Linked DNA regions of Caenorhabditis elegans. The protein of the gene in region 2 purifies or fractionates together with the protein of the main gene of each other region. This does not show direct contact. Each region holds a gene or a part of one and is shown on either strand. Other genes may lie near its edges. The genes, in order: twk-36, arrd-14, parp-2 and gtap-1.

Region 1 (5,941 bases), on a different chromosome or scaffold from region 2:
GTTACAAGTGTCTAGGTGAGTTAGTTGAAGGGTACAAAAAAAATTTTGCCACCTCATGGGCTCGAACCCCGGTGGTGTGCTTGGTAGTTTTTGGAAAAACCCACTGCGCCATTCGGGCATTTTTTTTGAAAACTTGTAAAAATGATCATAATAAGAGAAACACTAATTTCAATATATAATTTCTAATTTCGATGTAACAGTTTTGGATTTTAAACAATTTTACAACTTTCACGAGTTTTGAAAGTCTATTTTCAACGATTTCTTAAAACTTTTACGCTCGGACATATAGAAATTTGAATTCCACGTGTCTGAAATACCCAAAAATATTTTAGAAATTCGAAAAAAAAAATATTTGACCACAGGTCGGACTCGAACCCTGGTCGTAAGATTTGTTGTTCTCGAAAATCCCACTGCGCCATTCGGGCACTTTTTCCTTAAAACCTGTAAAATCGTTTGTTCATTTACAAGCTGGTCTTTATATGTCTAAACACTGCGTACAAAAATATTTGACCACATGGCGGGCTTGAACCCCGGACTTGTGCGCGATAGTTCTGGAAAATCCCACTGAGCCATTGGTGCATTTTCTCAAAAATTAGGCAAAAGCTAGATTTTAAGCACGGAACCTGATTTCTAGTGAATATTAGTTCATATTTCATTTTCCAGGCTGTGAGACAGTCGTTCATAAGCGGTGCCATGCCCTCATCACCGCCCGCTGCACCTTCGGACCATCTTCCCGAGCTCCGGTTCCTGCTGAAACTACAAATCTGAAAACTCGTCGTAGCCGATCTGCTTCGGAAGAACCTCCATCAAATACTCATCACTTTAACAAGCATTTCTTCACTCGCCCGACATTTTGTGATCACTGTGGAAGTATGCTCTATGGGCTCACGAAGCAAGGCGTTCAGTGCACGGATTGTCATGCAAATGTTCATTTTCGATGCCAGGAAAAGGTTTTGAGGAATTGTGGAATTCAGTGTCAATAAATATTGAAAAAATTGAGAAAAAAAATAAAGAAAAATGAAGAAAATTGGAGAAAGTTAAATTTGATAATCAGTCATAAACTCATATTGTTTTCCGGAATAAAGTTATTATAGTTACAATTGAGGCTCATAAACATCATAACAAAAATATTTGTCACTGTGCGGGTTTGAACCACGGACCTCTGATTGGAAGACATTAAAAATCCCACTGCGCCAATCGGACACTTTCCCGAAAGTTCGATTAAAATGACTTTTGCAGCTTGAAATTTGTTAATCACAGCTTGCAAAAAATAAATACCCTTGTGCGGACTCGAACCCCAGCCGTTTGATTGGAAGACGTTGAAAATCCCACTGCGCCAATCGGACACTTTCCCGAAAGTTCGATTAAAATGACTTTTGCAGCTATAAACTTGTTAATCACAGCTTGCAAAAAATAAATACCCCTGTGCGGACTCGAACCACTGACATCTGATTGAAAGACACTAAAAATCCCACTGCGTCATTAGGACATTTTCCTGAAAATTCGCTAAAAATGAATTTCCCAACTCGAACCTCAATTTCTAAAGCTTGCAAAAAATAAATACCCCTGTGTGGACTCGAACCCCGGACCTCTGATTGATAGACATGGAAAATCCCACTGTGCCATTCGGACATTTTCCTAAAAATTCGATAAAAATCACTTTTGCAGCTATAAACTTGTAAATCACAGCTTGCAAAAAATAAATACCCCTGTGCGGACTCGAACCCCGGACGTTTGATTGGAATAAATTCAGAATCCCACTGCTCCATTCGGAAATTTTCTCGAAAATTCGATTAAAACGTTTTCTTTCGTTATTTTAAAGTTTTTTCAGTGTAAAAATAAACTTTTCACACTCAATTATGTCATACATACCATATAAAAGTTAAAATATTCGTTTTCAGTGTAGTTTTAGTCTGAAAACCCCCACCAAATTTGCATTTTAAATCGTCGTCCGTTGACGTCTGTTCTATGTGTTCATTTCATACTTTTTTGTCAATTCCATGTAAAAAATGACCGTAACTTCTGAAAAAGACGGGTTAAAGAGTATTTTGAGTCAGAAGTATACGGTGGAGCGGAAAGATACCGTGCAGCATGTGCTCGAAGGGCCCGGTTTGAGGTTTGTTGGTTTTAATGAAAACATTTAATTAATTTTTGGGAAAATAAGAAAAACCAGGGAAAAGTGTATAAATTTTCAAAAACTTGAATAATTTCAAAAATATTTTCAAAAAAAAATTCCAAAAAAAAAAAATTTCAAAAAATTTTTTTTTTTTAATTCGAAAAATTCCAAAATTGTTTAATTTCCGATTTCCAGCCGCAACCAAAGCAATGCCAGTGTCCTAACCCTCCCAGGATCCCGAAACACCAGCTCCAACCACTTACCGGCTCAACGGAGCACCTCCGTGGATGAAGTGGCTAGGCATCGGGTCACTTATGAGATGGATGCTGGAAAATCTGAAAAATCTGAAAACCAGAATCCAATCTCTCAATATTATCAGAAAAATCATTATACTGTAACAGGAAATCAGGAAACTTACCAAAAACTTCCCAGGAACATTTCGGCGAACAGATTTCAAGTGGATAAAGCTTCAATTAGTCAGAAAAGTGCTCCGCGAGCCAGTGAGCCAATGGAAATGCCAATGTTACCTCAGGAAAGGCGTAAGTCAGTTTCAAAAAAAAACTACAATTTCCTAAAAGCTATCAAGATGTTTATACGACAAATTAAAAGTTTAGCAGAAAATGTTGGCGGAAAATTTAAATTTTTGAGCAAGAAGTTCAAGTTTTATAAAGATGATTCTTTTAAATTTTAAACTTCACTAGATGATTGGGCGGAAAATTCACATTTTTTCGAAAAAATTTGGCGGAACATCGAATTTTTAATAAGAAAACTTCGGCGAGAAATTCAAAATTTCTCAGAGATTTTTTTTTTCAAAAAATGTATTTTACATTCACATTTTCTCAAATAATTCAGCAGGAACGGCAAGACTTTTCAGAATTTTTAAAAAATAATTTCAAGTTTTCCTGAAAAGTTTTGGCGGGAAATTCAAATTTTCTTTAAAATTTTGACGAGAATTTCAAATGTTCCCAGAAAAATTTAAAGAATTTTCAATTTTTTTAAAAACTAGATTTCGCCCTCACCGACTAAAATTTTTTTCCAGAATTCGACAAATCCTTCTACTGGTTCGCAATGCACCGAAAAAAGTTCGGGCTCCGCTACATAGCTTTGCTGGTTTTGGCGTTGATCTACACACTTTTAGGGGCGACGGTGTTTTATCTGATAGAGGGTTCGAATGAGAAATCGAGACTGCATGTTCGGGAGCAAAACCTAGATAAGTTGTTGGATGAGCTAGCAACTGTGCTCTCAGAAGCCGTCAATGACCCGGAGCAAAGTTCTGAGCATCAGAGGATGAAGGAGTTTATAAAAGTATGGTGGTTTTGAGAAAGCTTGCCGGGATTGTCATTTCAGGAATCCTACATTTCCCTGCAAAAACACGAGGAGCAATACAAATGGAGCACATACTATCGTCTAGAGCACCCTGACAATCTCAAATGGACATTTTCAAGCGCATTTTTCTTCAGTATGAATGTTTACACAACTACCGGTTATGGTACCTGATCCAATTTTCTGTAACTTCAGCCCAATTAATTCCAAGGTTCCAGGTTCAATCTCAGCTCAAACCTTCAGCGGTCAGCTTTTCACAATGATCTACGCATTTTGTTTTGTACCGGTGACACTGGTGATCTTAAGGGATCTAGGCCAGATGTTCTTGGTGAATTTCACAAAATTGTACGCGCACGGGTTGACAGCGGTGAGGAGGATTCGTGGAAAGCGAGAAGTCGATGAGGATGAGATTATACAGCTGCCCATCAAGTTTTGTATGACTATTCTGATAGGTTAGCGGAAAGACCTCTGAAGCTTCGAAGATCTTAGAAGTAGCTCCTGTAGCGTCAAAATGCTCAGAGCTAGCATGTACCCGACTTTGTTTAAGATACCTGAGCTTGACTAGGCTATCCATAGTTTGTTAGACATTCTAACCTCGTCGAAACTTCCTAGAGTCAGCCAGGCAAGCCTAGGCTACCTAGGCTCTCTAACTGTCCTTGAAGACGAGTCTTACATGGTTCAGGCCATCATTTAGCCCGCGGTCTCCAACCTTACCCATCCTCGGTTCCAACTTTCCAGCCTACCTCCTCCTCTGCACCACGTTCGTGTACCTCTACGACGCCGTTATGGGCCCGGAATGGGACGACGGCCTACCGTACTTCACCGCATTCTACTTCTCTTTCATCTCTCTCACAACTATTGGTCTAGGCGATGTGATGCCAAATAATGTTCCGGTAAGCTTTTTGTACCTTTTGTGTTGCTTAATTTCAAAATTTCAGTACGCCCCGCCGGTCTCGATGATATTTTTCATCGGCATGGCAGTCACAAAAGTTGTGAATCGAGCAACATTTATTGCAGTGGAAAATGGGGTTTTTGGCCTGATGACCTTGGCGGAAACCAAGATTAGCATGCTCTTGACGGAACGGAAACCTGGTGTAAAAACTGTCAGATCAACATCATCAGGGTCTTCAGCAGAGTCCGTGGATTCAAAAGAGCCACGTGGATTTGATGGGGACTCGGATAGTGGATCGGATGATGGGGTAAGTCAAGCAGAAGATCAGAGAACATATTATTGCATAATTTGGAACTATAGTCACTCTGAAAAGTAAAAGAATCAAGTGAGAAAAAGTGGGTAAAACTGATAACGTTGGAAGCGTTATTTAAAGTCTGAACATGAGCTTGAGAATAAGCCTCAGCTTAAGTTTAGGCCAGAGTCTAAGCCTAAGCTTAAGCCAAAGCCTAAGCATAAGCCTGAGCCTAAGCTTAATTTCTCGAGTTTCTAGTACCTAAGGATAATCGGCCAACAGGAACCCCCTCAAAAATAATAAAAAAACCGGAAAATCCAAAGCCTAAATAGCGTCAGTAGCGAGCCAACGCTCGCCACTGACGCCAAGCCTGAGCCTAAGCCTAAGAGTAAGATTAAGCCTGAGCCTAAGCCTAAGCCTAAGCCTAAGATTAACCAAAGCCTAAGCCTAGACCTAACCCTAAGCCGAAGCCTAAGCCTAAGCCAAAGCCAAAGCCAAAGCCTAGTTCTAAGCCTGAGCCTAAGCCTAAGCCTGAGCATGAGCCTAAGCTTCAGACTAAGCCTAAGCCTGAACCTAAGCCTAAGCATATGCCTAAGCCTCATACTTTCAGGTAATCAACCGCCGCCGAAACGAGATGATGAACACCTTCACCGTCCGATCAATTGCCACATTCATGCGTTCCAACCATGACGTCTATGGTGGAGGATTCGGAAGAGTTCAACTAAGAAGAGGAGACCTTATGAGCTCTAATGCTTTACATACTGTACCTTGGGTCAGACCCTTACCATAATAAATTTTTCAAACCTTTTCTTTTTCGACCATCAAAGATCCAAGATTGTTCTGGCGTCATTCCAGGGAAAAATGAAAATGAAATGAAAAAAGCGAACTGGGAACAAAAATAATATGTCCACTTGTGGAAATTAACTTTCTCTTTAGTGTCCTCAAGTACAAATATACAAATATGTTGCATTTCTGGACAATTACAGACCATCGGCCACGTAATTTAGCCGACGAAAAAAGTGAAATTATTGCATAGGGGGATGAAACCGTAGCGGAAACCAAAAAGGCGGCGCCTGAAGAAGAGAAGCATAATTATAGTGAAACTTAGTGTTAATTGCCTTCTCTACATTGCCTTGTTTCACATCATTTTCTCCTTCCCCTCATCATCATTCATCAGTCATGGGCATCCGTATCACTTTTCCAGATGTTCGTTGATTCTGGTTTTTTATTTATTATGTGAATTTGTTCTGATCTTTTCTTTTTTTGCGGATTTCCTTATCAGAAACTTTTCGGCTTTGAAGATTAGAATATGCTTTTT
Region 2 (5,994 bases):
ATAAAAAAAATTCATTAATTTCATCGTCCGTTTTTATAGGACCAGTTTTTTTTTAAATAGAATTTCAAAACCCAGCCTATTATATATTTGTTAGGAATAAATGCAAAATCGGGGTGACTAACACACACTACTCAGAAAAATATTTCCTCAGACAAAACTGTTAAGTAAAAAAAAAACTAAAGAACTAAAAAAAAAAAAAAAAAAAACTAAACTCTAGCCTAAATCCCTGAAACCTCAATTCCTATTGTTAATTTCTTGTTAGTTACACTATTTTAGAAGGTATTGAACAAAAAATGTGTGTGTGTGTGTGTGTGTGTGGTTTGATGCCGGCAGAGGACGCACGAACCCTTGATAAATGGACGGAAAGAGTGCTGAGAAACAGAGAAAACGGAAAGAGACGTCGAAAAAAAGGGAAAAAAGAACGAAAATGAGAAACCCATTTTGTTGGAGGGTATTCTGAGAACAGCCTAGTGCAATTAAATTGCTAGAAGATACTTTTTTATAGATGTCAAACAAATGCTTTTATTAAAAATGAATTCCATCAAAAGAAACAAACGGAATAGCAGCATGTGATAACAATGGTATTTTATAAGCTCAGGGAAGACAGAAGACCTCAATGCCCATAATACGGCACTTGATAGGTGAACACCGGCTTCATATCGACCGTCCAGCTCTGCGCATCTTCTCCATCGACGAATTTGCGTGGGGGTACTGGAAAATAGAGTTTGTTTATATTTGAGTGCTCATGTTTCAGTGATTTTGACCGGAAAATTAGTTTATTTATTGCCAAAAATTGTCAGCAGAGGTGCATATAGGTTTTTTTCCGGAAAATTTCTGGCAATCGGAGAATCGGCAAATTGCCATAATTGAGATTTCCGGCAAATCAGCAAATTGCCGGAATTGAAAATTTCTGGCAATTGGCCGGAATTGAAAATTTCCGGCAAATTGTCGGAATTGAAAATTTCCGGAAAATCGGCAAGTTGCCGGAATTGAGCATTTTTGGCAAATTGGCAAACCGACAAATTGCAGGTGTTGAATATTTCTGGCAAATTGCCGGAATTGAAAATTTCCGTCAAACCGGCACATTGCCGGAATTGAAAATTTTTGGAAACCCGGCACTTTGCAGGAATTTAAATTTTCTGGCAAATCGGAAAAGCGCCACTTTGCAGGAATTTAAAATTTCTGGCAAATTACCGGAATTGAAAATTTCCGGCAAACCGGCAAATTGCCGGAATTGAAAATTTCTGGCAAATCGGCAAAGTGCCAGAATTAAAATTTCCGGTTAATAGGCAAATAGGTCAAATGCCGGAATTGAAAATTACCGGCAAACTGCCGGAAGTGAAAATTTTCGGCAAATCGACAAACCGGCAATTTGCCGAAAATAAAAATTTCCGGCAAACCGGCAAACTAGATGAAACCGCGGCGCGCCGTAATATGACAAGAATGCCCGGGACCTTCTATGATCTACCAAAAGAGGCAATATTTCTTGGAGCTCAAAAAGTGCAAAAATTAATGGGAAAACTGAGTTCACTAGTTTTCGTTCGATTCTATCAAAGCACGGATGTGCGGCAAATTTGCAGAATTTGCCGAGCTTGTCGTTTGCCAAGCTTTGCAAATTTCAAAAATGTGGACTTGCCGAGTTTGTCGAGTTCGGCAAATTTCAAATTTTGCCGCACACCCCTGTACCAGAGTGGCTTCTGAACTTCTCATCTTTTTCTCAACTTTTTCTTAATTCTGGCTAAAACTTACGTGAAGAGCTGCCTAAAAACAGCGGAACATTCCCAACGATAATATTCAATGCAGCTACTCCTCCCCGGTTACACGTTCCAGTATCTCCCCAGACTGTCACAAAGTACTCCACCGCTAGAAGCCTCGAGGAACGAATTGTGCTCACTACAGCCGGAATATCAAAGGAGAAGGCGAAATCCTTGCTGGATCTCGCCGGAACATTGCATCGTTCGATTTTCGTCTCAAGGATCTGCTCCTCGAGCTTCGACTTGAACCCGTCGGCTCCATCAGCCTTCTTCTTTGCGTTGGCTTTTGCCTTGAGCTCCTCGCGATATGTGATTCTTCTTGTTAGTTTCGCAGTGATGATTTTCATGGGTTTTGAGGTTCCGTTCTCGATTTGTCCTGACACAATTACATTCTCGCCTGCGACATAACCACATTTTGGAGATTGAAGCTGCAAAATCGATTATGCCGAATATGGTGCCAAAATGACCGAATATCCTAAAAAAAACTGTTCAAAAATTATTTTGAAGATTTTTATTTACTCTCAAAAAGTGGCAATTTCTCAGTTTTTGCCACTCATTTGGAAGTCTTTTTGGAAGTCGACCAAAAAAATTCTTTTTGATCTACAAAAAGTGCGGGAAACTTTTTCCCTTAAAAATTGTGACGTCAGCACGTTCTTAACCATGCGAAATCAGATCCCGCATTTTTTGTAGATCAACGTAGATCAAGCCGAAATGAGGCACTCTGACACCACGTGATTTTGGCAATGTGCCAAAACTTTGACCGGAAATTATGAAAAATCTAAATTTTTTCGGAGTGTTTTTTAATAACGCTGTAAAAAAATAACACAAACACGTGGTGTCAGAGTGTCTCATTTCGGCTTGATCTACGTTGATCTACAAAAAAAGCGGGAGAAAACACGCAGAGTTCTCAACTGATTTCGCATGGTTAAGAACGTGCTGACGTCACATTTTTTCGGGCAAAAAAATTGCAGCGTTTTTGTAGATCAAACCGTAATGGGACATTCTGATGACAGCACGTGCACAAACCGTATAAATGACATTTCCCCTCGTCGGCAGGCACGGCAGGCAGTGGCAGTACTCCGCAACATTGTCCACGTGGATCTTTGCCGGTTCATGTGCATTCACAGCATTCAGGTCGACCATCGATGACACTGTGACGGCTCGTTCCACGTTTATGGGTTTTCCATTTGGAACGGCAATGTGGAGCAAGACCGAGTACCTGATGAAGCCGTATTTTCCCTCGAAACTCGGTGGGCAGTCCTTGGGAAGTTCGAACGAGAAGTTCCACTCGTAGTCTCCGGATGGGAAGGTGTTCTGGAAGAATTGATAGGCAAATCGGCAAATCGGCAAATTGCCGAAATTGAAAATTTCCGGCAAATCGACAAACGGCCAAATTGCTGATTTGCCGAATTTGCCGGAAAAATGGCAATTGCCGAGTTTTCGGCAGACCGGCAATTTGGCAATTTGCCGAAAAGAAAATTTCCGGCAAATCGGAAAATTGGCAAATTGCCGAAAATGAGCATTTCCGGTAAACTGCAGGAATTTAAATTTCTGCCAAATCAGAAAATTGGCAATTTGCCGGAACTAAAAATTTCCGGCAAATCGGAAAATTGGCAAATTGCTCGAATTGAAATTTCCGGTAAATCGGCAAGTCTGCAAATTGCCGAAAAGAAAATTTCCGGCAAAACGGCAATTTGGCAATTTGCTCGAAAATAAAAATTACCGGCAAATCGGCAAATCTGCAAATTGCCGGAATTGAAAATTTCCGGTAAAACGACAAACGACAAATTGCTGATTTTCCGAAATTGCCGGAAAAATGGCAATTGTCGAAAGTTTTCGACAGACTGGCAATTTGGCAATTTGTCGAAAGTAAAAATTTCCGGCAAATCGGAAAATTGGCAAATTGCCGAAAATGAGCATTTCCGGCAAATTGAAGGAATATAAATTTCCGCCAAATCAGAAAATTGGCAATTTGCCGGAACTAAAAATTTCTGGCAAATTGCTCGAATTGAAATTTCCGGTAAATCGGCAAATCTGCAAATTGCCGAAAAGGAAATTTCCGGCAAATCGGAAAATTGGCAAATTGCCGGAATTGAAAATTCTGAAAATTGGCAACTTGCCGAAAATGAGCATTTCCGGCGAATCGGCAAAGCGGAAAAATGCCGGAATTGAAAATTTCCGGCAAATCGACAAACGGGCAAATTGCTGATTTGCCGAGGGAAAAATGGCAATTGCCAAAAGTTTTCGGCAAACCGGCATTTTGGCAATTTGCTCGAAAATAAAAATTACCTGCAAAACGGCAAATTTCCCAAATTGAAAACCCTCCGAGGACTATAGGCCTAAAAGCCAAGCCTAATTTTCCCAGTCCTGGTCAACTAGATTCCCCACTCACCTCAGTATCCTCCGGAGTCCAGACCTCGTGCTTCATCTCCACATAGGTCTCCTCTCCCTTCTTGCACTTCTTGTCCTTGATGATTTTTCTGGAAGACCAAGTTTTTTTTCGATACCCGGAATTTTTTTTGTCAAAAAAAACACGAACTTTCCATTATGAGCAGTGATAGTTTTTCCGGAAAACGTGATTTCCACACTTGTCGCCTTCAAGTTCTTCGTGGTAGACACCCACGCACGGCCTTTGACCTCATCGCCCGGGAAGTAAACCTCTTTCTCGAATGAAATTTGAGGATCACAGTCGGCTATGGTCATGGTTCTGGAAATTTACTCTTAAAAATGTGATTTTATATAGCTTACTGTGAGCTCATAGTAAGAAGAAAATTCGAGTTTCAGCGTGGCCGAGTTTTTCCAAAACTTCCTGAGATAGAATTATAACAGTTTGCCGTAAATGATATGCATTTAAAAAAATATAAAAATGAGAAAAATCGGTCACCAATTTTTTTTCTAGGCCACGGAAAGTACTCTGGCCACAGGTCTGTTATGTCATGTGGTAGTGGAAGAGAAAACTCGGCCACCAACACTTTTTTCTAGGCCACGGAGAGTATTCTGTGCACAGGTCTGCTACGCCATGTGGCCGTGGAAGAGAAAACTCGGCCACCAACACTTTTTTCCAGGCCACGGAGAGTTTTCTTTGTACAGGTAGGCTACGCCACGTGGCCGTGGAAGAGACAACTCGGCCACCAAAATTTTTTCTAGGCCATAGAGAGTACTCTGTGTACAGGTTTGCTACGTCATGTGGCCGTGGAAGAGACAACTCGGCCACCAACTTTTCTATGCCAAAGGGAAAACTCGGCCATCAATTTGTGTTGACCTTACAGAACTACTGTTGTAAGAGCAAATTTTGAACAGAAAAAAAAATATAGAGAAAACTCGGCCACCAACTTGTTTCTGTTCACCTAGAAAACTCCGCTTTTTACACAGGCCAGCACAAGGAGAAAGTTCGGCCATGTAGCTAAAGCGCACAATAACACGAGACCGAGAAAAATAAAAACTCGGCCACCTACTTTACAAAACCTGGAGAGGTGTTCAACACGGTAATATCGAAAACTTGTTGAGAAAATGCCAGAGAAAACCAAACAAAAAGCGCGCGCGCGGGGGCAAAAATGTAACTGTGTAGAGGGGACAGCAGGGGATGGCTGTTGACATGAAAAAAAGAGACATGAGATTGGAAACAGATTCCCCCCATTTATTGTTTGAGGTCATTTCCTTTCTTCATCTTCTTTTTTCAATTCTCATCTCTTTTGATCAAAAATTGCCGTTTTTGGGTTGGGCCCCCGCACCGGGGAAGCAAAAAAAGTAATTTTTAAAAAAACGCCTCGCTATTATCAAATTACGAGAAAAAAAAGGATTATTTGGAATTTCCCGCCGAAAGGAGATCATGTGATCCGTGATAAGAATAGATTATCGGTGACTAAGCGGTTGATTTTGTTTAAAAAATACGGAACGCGCCTTTAAATGGGCACTGTAGCTTTGGCGGGAACTACACAAAAATCACGTGGAAGAGTTTTTTGCGTTTTCTAGGCCATGCATGGCCTAGAAAAGGAAAAAACTCGGCCACCGTATTTTTTTTGTCAGCGACAAATCGTCGGGGAAGAGTTCCTGTAACGTGGCCGAGAAAAGAAACACAAAAATTCGGCCACCGATCATCTTCATGGAAGAGCTTCCGAGTTTTCTAGGCCACGCTGTGGAGGCCGGAGTAGGTCGACATTTGCAACATGGCCGAGAAGAAGTGAAATTCGGCCAGCGGCTTGAGTTTTTTTTAGAATTAGAAAAAAAATCAGTTTCATGG
Region 3 (4,379 bases), 4.2 Mb from region 2:
TCCGCGCGTCGTGTACTCCTCTCAGACAAACAGAAGTTGCACAATTTTTTGAAATCGATCCCTTTTAATCACTTTTTCCTATTCTTCTAGCGTTTAATTATTTTCTATTGATTTTATTTACACAATGGGGTCAAAAAGAGTATGCCCAGATGCAAATAATTCTGTAAAGTGTAAGTTTTAGGCCTGGGCTGAATATTAAATCTGAAAATAATACTTTTCAGCAAAAAAAGCAAAAACCCTGGATTTTCTCGCTCATCCTCGACGGAAGATTGCAATTCAGTTTTTCTATTTGGGCTGGGAGCATGATGGGCTTGTTCAACAACCGCATACACAAAATACGGTGGAAAATGTAAGAATTCTAAAATACTTTATTTAAATAAATTAAAAATGTTTCAGCATATCATGCAGGCACTAATAAAAACTCATTTAATTGAGGACTGGACGAAATGTGATTTTTCGCGTTGTGGACGGACCGATAAAGGAGTTTCCGCATTTAAACAAACTGCTGCAATGGTTGTTAGGTTTAAAATTTTTTTACTGAACTCGTTCTCATTTCAATTTTCAGATCTCTGTGTCCCGGTGACTCAGGAGTGTTTTGGTCAGATTCTACGCAAGAGCATCAAAAAGTGGACTATAAAGCTAGTGGAGAAGAGCTTCCCTATGTAAAAATGCTCAATGGAGTTCTTCCGAAAACCATCAGAGTCTTCGCCTGGGCTCCTGTCGCGCAAACGTTCAATGCCAGATTCGATTGTAATAGAAGAACATATAAATATTCTTTTGCTAAAGCTGACCTTAACTTAGAGGTTGGTGTATTTTCATTATATTTTTATCTTCAAATTATTATTTATTTAGAAAATGCGTCAGGGCGCGGAGCTATTGGTCGGTGAGCACGATTTTTCGAATTTCTGCCAAATCGATATGAACGAGAAAAGACTGCTGCAGTCTTATGTTAGAAAAGTCTATGAAGTCAAGGTAGAACAAGTATCGACTCATCCAGAAAATGGTATTGTTTATTTATTCAGAGAGTTTAGTTTTGACAAGTAAAACTTTAGATATGTATTCAATGGTGGAGCTCACTGTATCTGGAAGTGGTTTCCTTTGGCATATGATTCGATACATAGTCACGATCCTTCAAGAAATTGGAAGAGAAAATGAACAACCATCATTAATCTCACAGCTTCTTGACCTGAAAAAATATCCGAGCCGGCCGCAGTACACCTTAGCCTCGGACACTCCTCTATGCTTATTCGATTGTGGATATAAATCTGAAGATGTTGAATGGAAAGTTCATGACTATACACTGAAAAGTACAGTGACCGGACTACAAAAAACCTGGGCGACGTATCAGGCGAGAAGTCGAATGATGGAAAATATGCTCGGAGAACTGACTGGAATGGCTGAATTCAGTTCAGGAGATGCCAATAAAGGACTTCACGAATTTGTACAAGATCGTCCGATACCTTCAAATTACATAAGGTTTGAGAATAGGAAAATGTGTGAAAGCCTGGAGAGCAAGAAAGAGAAAATGGCAGAAAAGAAGAAAAATGGAGAAGAATCTTCGGATAAACTATGAGAGTTTAATTGTTTTTTAAGTTATTAATACGGTTTTGTTGTTGATTTTTTTGTTTTTAAAAATATATGTTTCTGTTTTTTGATCAATTTTTTCCTTTTTGTTTGATTTATTGGTTTCTGAAATCCAAATTTATTTCTGAAAATTGTAAGAAGTTGTCTTTATAATCGAATTTCCATTTCCAGCTAGACAGAAATGTCTATAATCAACGACGAAAATGGAAGAGGCTATAAAGTACATCTTTGCAAGACGAATATTGCACAGAACAACAATAAATTTTACGATATGGAATTGTTGGATGAGGGAGGTGATTTCATTGTGAAGCTTATCAATGGACGTATTGGATATCGTGGTGTCACACAATTAAAAGATTTCGATGACCTCGACAGAGCCAAGAAGTTCTTCGAAAGCAAATTCTACGAGAAAACTCATCTTCATTGGGAAGAAAGAGACGATGAACCGGTTCCCAATAAATATGCAGTCGTTGAGTTGGCTACTAACGCAAGACAGACTGAAAAAGAAGTTAAAAAGGAGGAACCGGAACCTGAGCCGAAAGTTGATGAGAAAAATACACGTGGAAGGAAGAAAAGAGGAATTGTTAAAGAAAAGAAAGAAATCAAGAAAGAAGAGGAACCAGTTGAAGAAGTTAATGAAAAGCTGAAGGAATTGATGAAATGCATCTGCGACGAAGATGTTCATCTGGGACTCTTGAAACAACTGAAATTTAACGAAGCTTTTGGAAGACCAATTGGTGAGTTTTAAAAAATCGTATTAAAAAATTAGAGAAAAATTCAGATTGCCTCTCACTTGCCCAACTCACCACTGGATATGAAATTTTGAGTAAGATTGAGGAATCGATTGGAGGAAAATCAGGTATTTTATGAAATTTTGTAAATTTGAAGTTTTAAGTTGAAAAATCTAAATTTAGGCCATTATCTTCCCTGAAAAATGGAAATTCTTTTAGCTCGAAGATCTACTCGTGGCCGGCCACGAGTAGCTGACCGTGTTCTTGCTGTTAAATCCGATGGTCCATCTCTTCACGACATCAACAAATATTATTCTCTCATCCCTCATTCATTTGGTTTCTGTGTTCCTCCAAAAATTGATTCTCATGCTAAAATTCAAGCTGAACGAGAGCTTCTGGATGCACTGAAAGGATCAATTGAAGCATCACTGGAACTGAAGGATTTGAAAAAGACAGCATCGTCGAAGGATATTTATCAAAGACTTTATGAGCGCCTCCCGTGCCATTTGGAGCCAGTTTCGGAAGAAATTGCAGGAAAAATTGGAGACTGCTTGGCTATGCGTGGACCCACTCATTGTTACAAGCTTTCACTCATTGATGCATTCGAGTTAAAGGATCCAAATGAAATTCCAACTGAAGCTCCAGTTGAAGTTCAGGAAGTTCCGAAGAAGAGAGGACGAAAGAGCACAAAGACCGCTGCTCCAACTGTTCCACCACCAACTACAAAACGCCTTCTTTGGCACGGTACTCGTGTGACAAATGTCTTCTCAATCCTCATGAATGGACTTCAGTTCCCAGTTGGAGATCGCTGTGGTCTGATGTTCGGAAATGGAGTTTATTTCGCAAATGTTCCAACTAAATCCGCGAATTACTGTTGCCCAGAGGCTTCAAAGAGAGTTTTCATGCTTCTTTGCGAGGTGAGAAATCCACTGAAAATTTCACAATTTTCAATTTTTTCTATTTCAGGTTGAAACTGCGAACCCATTAGTTCTCTACGAGTCAGAAATTGACGCGGATGAGAAAATGGAAAAAGCGAAAAAGACGTCGGTTTATGCAGCTGGAAAGCACACTCCAAGAGACACTGTTGAAATGTAAATTCTGATTTTTTTCAAAAAATTCTTATCCATGAAATTTTCAGCAATGGAATCCCGGCATTCAAGTCAAATCTTGAGACAATCGAAGAAGAAACTCGTCTTCTCTACGATGAATATGTGATGTTCAACAAGGAACACTTCAAAATAAAATATGTTGTCGAAGTGAAAGTGGATCGTCTTACCGCTAAGGAAATGATGGCTTAAATGCTAATTTCTCATGTAATCTCTCACATTTTATCTGTTTCTACCTCTCCATTTAATTTTCTGATCTGAATTTGTCAAGCTTTTGTAACTTTTTTTAAACCTGTTAATCCAATGATACTCCTCATTTTTTTAAAATCACATTCCTGGAATTTGTTTTTGCTCAAAATCTCATCTTTTTCGGTTTCACTTCATTCATTTTCTGCTCATATCAAAAAACAAATGTATTTTTGAAGCAATTTAAATTTTTCTCTAAAATTCTGAAGGTGTTGCTAATCCTTTTTATATTTTTTGAAGCTGATTTTCACAAGCTTAATCAAAACGATTTTCAGAAAATGTCCAGAAGAAAATTGAGAGCAGTGGAATACGATCGTGACTATATTAATTTCGATGGTAGTATTTCAGAAATTGTTCTACAATAATTAACCAAATTCCAGACGATAATGAGATTCGCCGTCTAATCGTCACTGTCGAAGAAGCCCATCTGAAGTGTCGTGATCAAAATTGGTCTGCTCAGATGCTTGACGAGCAGGATGTAGCTAAATGGACTGTGGAGCTTGAAAAATATTTTACCGAGTTTGGTGCACCGTCTGGATGCTCCAGAGCGGCGGCGATTGACTATGTCTTGAACGCTGCTGTTCAAAAGATTTATGAACAGAAAGGTTTGCAAAATTAGGTGATACGTTTAAATACACGATATCTGTATTTCCAGGCGGTGACACTGAACTCTGCTCGAGTCGGCTCAGAGAACAAGCTGAAAAAGTGCTCG
Region 4 (6,660 bases), 7.9 Mb from region 2:
GGACTTTCAATGAATGCCGTGTAAACTTCACTCAATTTGAAAAAGCTTACCGTGAGCAGACAGAGCAACTGCGAGCCGAAGTTCATCTGAAAGTTTCTGCTGATTTCTTTGAAGAAATAGCACGACTTGATGCAATAATTGATCGATTTGAACAACCTTTCGATGGAAGCTCTTCCGGAATGACAAAGTATAAAGAGGATTTGGCAATCTTTGTGGACAAATGTTTGAGCAGTGATTTGGAAGCTAGATGTACCGGTGGCCTAATGTCAAGAATTTGGAATTTGGAGAATGATATGTTCCGTAAGTGTTTATCTGGGAACTGATGTGTTATAAAAAATTTTTTTTCCAGAATATGTGACAAAAATCCTCGCCGAACCTTATCAGAATAAGCTTGAAGAAGTGTGGCGATATCGTGCTCCTTTCAAATTTAGCATTTGTGTCGATGTCCCTGCTCTTGTCAAGTGAGTTTCGATGGATTTTTTGTGTTTCATTCTTACATTTTTCAGTGATTTCCATGAAGACCTCGAGTTCCGATTCACATTTGGTCTACACGCAATAATTCGTCGCATCATTGCGTATCGAAGCGGCCAACCTGTCACTGCAATCAACACCAATTTGCTTACTCCATTATCACTAAAACAACAATCCGAAAAGAATTCAGTGAGAGATGCAGAAGCTTCTGCAGCTTCCGAAGAACAGGCAATGATGACTCAAATGGTTTTGACATCAGCCGCATTTTTAGCAAACGGAAGTCTTGGAGTGCTAGTTGTTGGTGGTATTGTGTATAAGGCTGTTGGTTGGAGAGTAATTGCTGTCGGAGGAGCGGCCTACGCTGGACTATATGCATGGGAACGAATGCGCTGGAATTCGGGAGCCAAGGAACAACATTTGAAAGAACAGTTCAGATCACATTTAGCTGCTCGAATGCAACAAGTTTCAACAGCTCATACTCATCACTGTGAAACACAAGCTATCAGGTATTTTTTAAACCGTATAGTTTTCAATTCAATTTGTTGTTTTCAGAGAAATGGACCAAGTCTTTGACGGATTGAAAGCAACTGTTGGTGGAGTCCATAGAGAAATGAAAAACGATTTGGATGTACAGAAGACACAAATTGATGCAGTTGATTCAACAATTCGAACATTGGGAACAATCAAGTATGTCCTCTTAGATCTGTGTCAAGAATTAATAAAATTAATTTTCAGAGGAAAAGCAGTGTTTCTTCTCCGAAATCTCGAACAATTTGCATCTTCTTATCTCCGATCGGACTCTCCGCCAACGCCATGAAAATGACTAGTCTGAATTTAACTAATTTTGGTGCTTTTCCCCTTATTCACTCAGTCCTATAGCTTTTAATTCGAACGATTGGTAATCGGTTCAATGTAGATATTTTGATGAGCTGTTTTCTCGTTATTTCTAGACAATTTCAGTAGTTTTAGTGTTTTGATTATGATACTTCTATGAGACGAATAATAATTCGAATAAATTTTTGTCGTTTGATTTTTGAGAAGATATTCAATTATCTGTATTTATATTCATCAGAATTTCTATTTATGTGTTGTGGTATTTGAAAATAGGAAAATATAATTCAGGTATGAATGAAGACGACGATGTTGGAATTTCTGTGGAATTCGATCAATGCACGCAGGAGGTACTGTAGGGAACCAAATATAGAAATAGTTAGAACAAATTTCAGACAATGTTCTACAATTCTTGTCTAGAAGATCGTGACGAAGGAGGAAGCGGAGACATCTCACGTGCTGATTCTGCAGTATGTCTCACGACACCTAGAGATCCGTTTCCAGCTGTTCTACAGGTAATTGAAGATGAACGAAAACTTTTTATAAACTGTTTTTTTTTAGAAGTTCAACTCATCTCGTAAGAATCATCAAATAAAAAAGTTTCATGATAGCAATGTAAAACGATGTCAAGAGTACAGAAAGAGTATGGAACATCAAAGAAATGGGTAAGAAATTCGGATTTTCAAAAACGAATATTAATCATTTTATTTTGAGAACAGACAGTTATTTGCTCACTCAACAACGGCTCGCTGTTCATCTCATCGACTTTATTGATTTACCTGTTAAAGTTAGTTCAAAAACTAAAATAATTTTTATCAAAAATAAACGTTATAATTCAGAAAAATACTCAACGAAGAATATGCACTGATCGTGTGTCGATGCCTCTATACAGATTGACGTCTGGTGGTCTTGAAGTGAACTCGGATTATTATTTTCCAATGGAATCTCCGTATGCGAATATTCAAAAATCTTATGTAAATTTTTAATATTTCTTCTATCAATTATTTAAGTTATTTTAGCTACGAACACTGGCCGACCACCTCACTCGAACTCATCGGAAGCTTAACGAAATATGTGAATTTGTGGAGAGATGTGAAGAACACAGTCAACTGATGCTTCCGACACTGATTACTGTACTCTGTGATTGGGTGAAACAATTTCTTAGAGATCACGCTTGTCATCTCGACGAACTTCGTGCTGAGCGACTGGAAGATCCTTTACAGACATTGGCTCGACTAAATAAAAATATGGAAGAGGTGGAAATAGTGAGAGCAGTGATTGGCGATGATGTTGGAAGACATATTTGGTTATGGGAAGATATTGAAAACTCTTGGAATCGTGTATTCCTGTTAACACAAATGGATGCCATCGCAAAGAAGAGGGATGTTGTCAAGTTGTTACAAAATAAATGGATTCGCGCTTTGTTGTCAATTATGGATCATATTTTCGAAATTGGAAGAGTTCCTGCAGCTATCGACTATTTTGTTTTGCACAAGTGAGTTTCAATTTTATGATTTTTAAAGTTTTAAAACGTAAGATTCTTGCTTGAAAAATTTATATAAATATTTAAGAGAAGAAAAATAAATAATCGCATCTAATGACGTCTGTTCTTGTATCCCTGGTTTCCATTGACTGGTGCACTTTCCTGTCTTTGAGGACATGGACAATATTCGGCATCAGTTCCTGGCTCTCCCTCCTCTCCTGGTGCTCCAGCAGAACCGTTCTCTCCATTATCTCCCTTGTCTCCACGTGGTCCACGCTCTCCTGGTGCTCCTGGAATACCTTGAGCTCCGGTATCTCCTTGTGGTCCTTGATCTCCTGGTTGTCCAGTTGGTCCAGAAATTCCCTTTGGTCCTGGAAGTCCGACTTGATGTTCGACATCAGCTCCTGGTTCTCCTTCTGATCCTGGTTCTCCTTGTGGTCCGACTGGTCCGACTGGTCCGAGGCTTCCTGGCTGTCCTGGAGTTCCGTCACGTCCTGGCATGGCTCCTTGTCCGCGAGCTCCACGCATTCCACGAACTCCTGGCTTTCCTTGTGGTCCTTGTGGTCCTTGTGGTCCCTGTGGGCAAGTGAAGCATCCTGCATATTGTTGAGTTTGAGCTTGAGCATCGTCAGCATCCTGTCCATCGATTCCTGGCACTCCTGGAATTCCGTCGATTCCGTCAGATCCTTGAGCTCCCTTTGGTCCAGCTGGTCCAGCTGGGCACGAATTGTCAGCCTGGCAGTTGCAAGATCCTCCTGGATTTGGTTCTCCTCCTTGTGTTGGGTTGAATTGTGGTGGCACTCCGACAACTCCTGGGAAGCTTCCTGGATTCATTGGGGATGCGCCTCCTGGGAATCCACCGTGAGGTGTTGGGTTGGCTCCAGAAGCTCCATATCCTCCATACTGACGTTTAACACGGCCGAACTTTTGCATATCACGATAGAGACTGTCAGTTTCAAACTAAAATTTCACATTTTTATTACTATATAACATATAACGGACTTTATATTTACTTACCTTCCATGCATCCATCTCAATATTCATCTCATTTCGGATATCTTCGATGTTGGAGCTGATACCTTGAACAGCAAAAAGAATGAATCCGATCGAAACGAGTCCGACGGTAATAGCCGCGTATGCAGTAGCTGTCGACGTCATATTCAGACTTGACATAATTATCAGATTTCTCTCATTGCTTTTTATACTTTTTTCTAGCTATGGTCATTCATCATTCAACCTGTTTTCAGAATTTCCTCCAAAAATTCCATCATGTCAATTCTCAAATTTCTCCAGCGTTTTTTAATTTGATTTCCATGCGAAATATTGCATATTCGGAAGAGATATCTAGAGAGATATTTGCATATTTCACTTATTTCCGCTAGAATGGCCATGAGATAAACGGGTTGATATCAGGGTGTGGAGAATAAGTGATTAGTGATGGTGTTTGAAATGTTACTAATAATCAAAATAATCTGAAAATTATAACGAAAACTCCGTAAATACTAATTTAAAACTTTATTTTTAGTGACGTCAAACCGGATGCTCAAATTCTACTTTGTCGAGATATCAAAGAAGTTCAATCGTTACTTTGGGATGAAGAACTGATTGAAATCATTCTTGAAGCAGTCAAATGTCGGATCCGTGTTGGATTAATTGAATTTCCAGTCAAAACATTCACGAATGCATTTGATTCATTACGAGCCGCAGCTAAATTCACTGAAGATCTTCTACCATTTGATGAATTCCGATCTCTATTTTTTGATACATGTCTCCTACTTCAGGATCAGTTTGCACAAGAGCTACTCAATGAATTACATAGAAACAACCGATTTGTCAACTTGTGGGTCGACTTAGAGGCATGTGATTTAAATTTACTGATAAAAAAAAATATTATCAGTTCGGAGAATTGATGGGTGTCTGACAAAAACTTTTTCTTTCAGAATGTTGTCATTGGTTCGATTTCACAGCAATATGCAACAACAGTCTTCCGATCAGATTCCAATGTTACCAACTTTGCTGATGCATTTTGGTTGGCATCGAGAGGTCGGATGAGTAAGGAAAATATGAATATATTCTCATGGATTTCAACAAAATCTGAATTCACATGCAAGGTATTAGCATTGGAATAAAATTTTGAAAATTAAATGTTTTTCAGCTCGAGCATATGCTGGCTTCATTCATTCGTCCCGAAGTTATTGACGTCATGAATCAGTGTATGAAGTTTGCACACAGCGCATATCGAACCAGAGAATTGCTAGTTACGATGGCTAATGACAGTGAGCTTTTCAACCGGTCAAGGATGTAATTTTACATTTTTTGTTTCAGAAGAACTACTATCTCGAATGAAATGTCCACAATCCACAATCGATGTTTCTCTCGCTCATCACAAAACGAATGCAATCGAGAAAATGAATCGAGCACTTAGAACAAAACTTCGTTTCTTTGTATTCACACTCGAACAAGTTGTGTCACATTTCAGAGAGTTGTTCTCTGATAAGGTTTTCTTAAATATCTTTTTTATAATTTTCAAATATCCTTTTCCAGGTTCGCTATGTATTTCGAACGGCACGTGATCAAATTGTGAATGCAACAAGCTTGAAGCAGGTGGAAAATGCGATTACAGATGGTCACAAGAAGCTCTCAGATCTTGTTGTACGCATTGGAATCAGACGATTGGTTCATGAAAATATGGATATGTTTATGACTATGACAGATGAGATACGGTTACGGTAAGTTATACAATTATTAAATGCAAACATTTAAATTAATATTTTGGCACTTTCAATGCCATTGGATTTAAATTTCAACTTTCAGATCAGATCAAAAAGTTTTTCCACCGAAAACACAAAAAAAGCAACAAAAAACCAAAACTAAGAATTATTAAGTTTGAAACTTCATTTTGAAAATCTAAAACAAGTTGACCAAAATTGTACTTTCTTTTAAAATTTCGACTTTAATTTTTTTCTACTCAAAATTGTTTTGTGAAGCATAATTTTTCGTATTTTTTTCCAAAAAAAAAAACATTTACAGCCATGACTGCAGCTTTTTTGATTGAGCTTTTTAAAATGAAAAATTACTATTTTCAGATCAGTCTCCAACACGTTGGATCTTGACTATTTGGATCGATGTGAAACAAGTGTTCGAATTACTTTACAAAAGCTGCTTTCTCTACACGAAGCTTGGGGAAACGACAAAGATTCCATATTTTTCCATCTTTCTGTCCGAATAGGAAAATTGAATATGGGTACCTAATCACTTCTTATTCACTGCCTGGTTTTTATCGCCTTATGTTCAAAATTTTCATGCATAATCACTTTCTGAAAATATGGGTTAATTCAATAAAAAATTTTAAATTTTAAATGTTCATTTGTAGGCTAATGTTATTCGTATATAACGATTTTTGAATTATCTTTTTTTGTTATTTAGAAGTTCAATAAGTTGTGAAATCCCTTCCAGATGTCTACCCAGCTCGCCACTAGTATGGAAATTATTCGAAAAAGTCTGAGAAAGGCTGCTGAGGATGTTCTTCATATCAATTCAAAAAATGCTATTTCAAATGAAGTAGATTCTGAAGAATTCAAAGAAACATTGATGAAAGATGCAATGAAGTTGATGGAATTGGAGACTGAAGGTGCTCAAATGCAACACATTTTTGAAGCGTTGCATAATGACCTGAAAGATGGTTCAGACGAGGTTCCGAATGTACGTTGCAGATATTTAAACAAATTATATTAATAATAATTTTGCAGGAAAAAGCATTGGAGGAGTTATACGAGAAGGCGAAAAAAACCCATAAAAATGTGAAAGGCGAGCGACAGTACTTCAAAGACATTATCAAATCTATAAGGGATGAAAGTAAAAACGATGAAAATGAA

The links.
Region 1: the proteins of arrd-14 (region 2) and twk-36 fractionate together in Caenorhabditis elegans (co-fractionation; one large-scale study listed by BioGRID). This does not show direct contact.
Region 3: the proteins of arrd-14 (region 2) and parp-2 fractionate together in Caenorhabditis elegans (co-fractionation; one large-scale study listed by BioGRID). This does not show direct contact.
Region 4: the proteins of arrd-14 (region 2) and gtap-1 fractionate together in Caenorhabditis elegans (co-fractionation; one large-scale study listed by BioGRID). This does not show direct contact.

What each region holds. Positions count from the first base shown.
Region 1 is NC_003283.11:17,743,123-17,749,063, reverse strand, and holds twk-36 (Potassium channel domain-containing protein), read left to right. Parts: upstream 1-2,004; 5' UTR 2,005-2,009; coding exon 2,010-2,116; intron 2,117-2,311; coding exon 2,312-2,655; intron 2,656-3,155; coding exon 3,156-3,421; intron 3,422-3,463; coding exon 3,464-3,605; intron 3,606-3,657; coding exon 3,658-3,891; intron 3,892-4,177; coding exon 4,178-4,332; intron 4,333-4,377; coding exon 4,378-4,638; intron 4,639-5,233; coding exon 5,234-5,413; downstream 5,414-5,941. Other genes in the region: R12G8.1 (Phorbol-ester/DAG-type domain-containing protein), read left to right, coding at 1-15, 664-983.
Region 2 is NC_003280.10:13,750,783-13,756,776, reverse strand, and holds arrd-14 (Arrestin C-terminal-like domain-containing protein), read right to left. Parts: upstream 4,462-5,994; 5' UTR 4,458-4,461; coding exon 4,294-4,457; intron 4,235-4,293; coding exon 4,147-4,234; intron 3,069-4,146; coding exon 2,781-3,068; intron 2,183-2,780; coding exon 1,750-2,182; intron 712-1,749; coding exon 614-711; 3' UTR 510-613; downstream 1-509.
Region 3 is NC_003280.10:9,591,282-9,595,660, forward strand, and holds parp-2 (Poly [ADP-ribose] polymerase 2), read left to right. Parts: upstream 1-1,755; 5' UTR 1,756-1,765; coding exon 1,766-2,321; intron 2,322-2,365; coding exon 2,366-2,443; intron 2,444-2,534; coding exon 2,535-3,232; intron 3,233-3,281; coding exon 3,282-3,406; intron 3,407-3,453; coding exon 3,454-3,613; 3' UTR 3,614-3,847; downstream 3,848-4,379. Other genes in the region: putative tRNA pseudouridine synthase tag-124, read left to right, coding at 125-170, 222-349, 397-521, 566-803, 853-1,003, 1,053-1,573; E02H1.5 (uncharacterized protein), read left to right, coding at 3,946-4,003, 4,048-4,272, 4,323-4,379. UniProt on the Caenorhabditis elegans protein: Poly[ADP-ribose] polymerase modifies various nuclear proteins by poly(ADP-ribosyl)ation, a post-translational modification synthesized after DNA damage that appears as an obligatory step in a detection/signaling pathway leading to the reparation of DNA strand breaks and programmed cell death.
Region 4 is NC_003280.10:5,828,168-5,834,827, reverse strand, and holds gtap-1 (Dynein heavy chain 7, axonemal), read left to right. Parts: upstream 1-1,591; 5' UTR 1,592-1,595; coding exon 1,596-1,652; intron 1,653-1,697; coding exon 1,698-1,817; intron 1,818-1,863; coding exon 1,864-1,967; intron 1,968-2,016; coding exon 2,017-2,089; intron 2,090-2,141; coding exon 2,142-2,276; intron 2,277-2,321; coding exon 2,322-2,797; intron 2,798-2,805; exon of another isoform or gene 2,806-2,896; coding exon of another isoform or gene 2,897-3,745; intron 3,746-3,802; coding exon of another isoform or gene 3,803-3,943; exon of another isoform or gene 3,944-4,310; coding exon 4,311-4,641; intron 4,642-4,725; coding exon 4,726-4,896; intron 4,897-4,940; coding exon 4,941-5,061; intron 5,062-5,110; coding exon 5,111-5,283; intron 5,284-5,329; coding exon 5,330-5,514; intron 5,515-5,871; coding exon 5,872-6,037; 3' UTR 6,038-6,146; downstream 6,147-6,660. Other genes in the region: Transmembrane GTPase fzo-1, read left to right, coding at 1-300, 350-461, 507-977, 1,024-1,158, 1,207-1,288; col-74 (Nematode cuticle collagen N-terminal domain-containing protein), read right to left, coding at 2,897-3,745, 3,803-3,943; ZK1248.11 (E3 SUMO-protein ligase NSE2), read left to right, coding at 6,242-6,487, 6,535-6,660.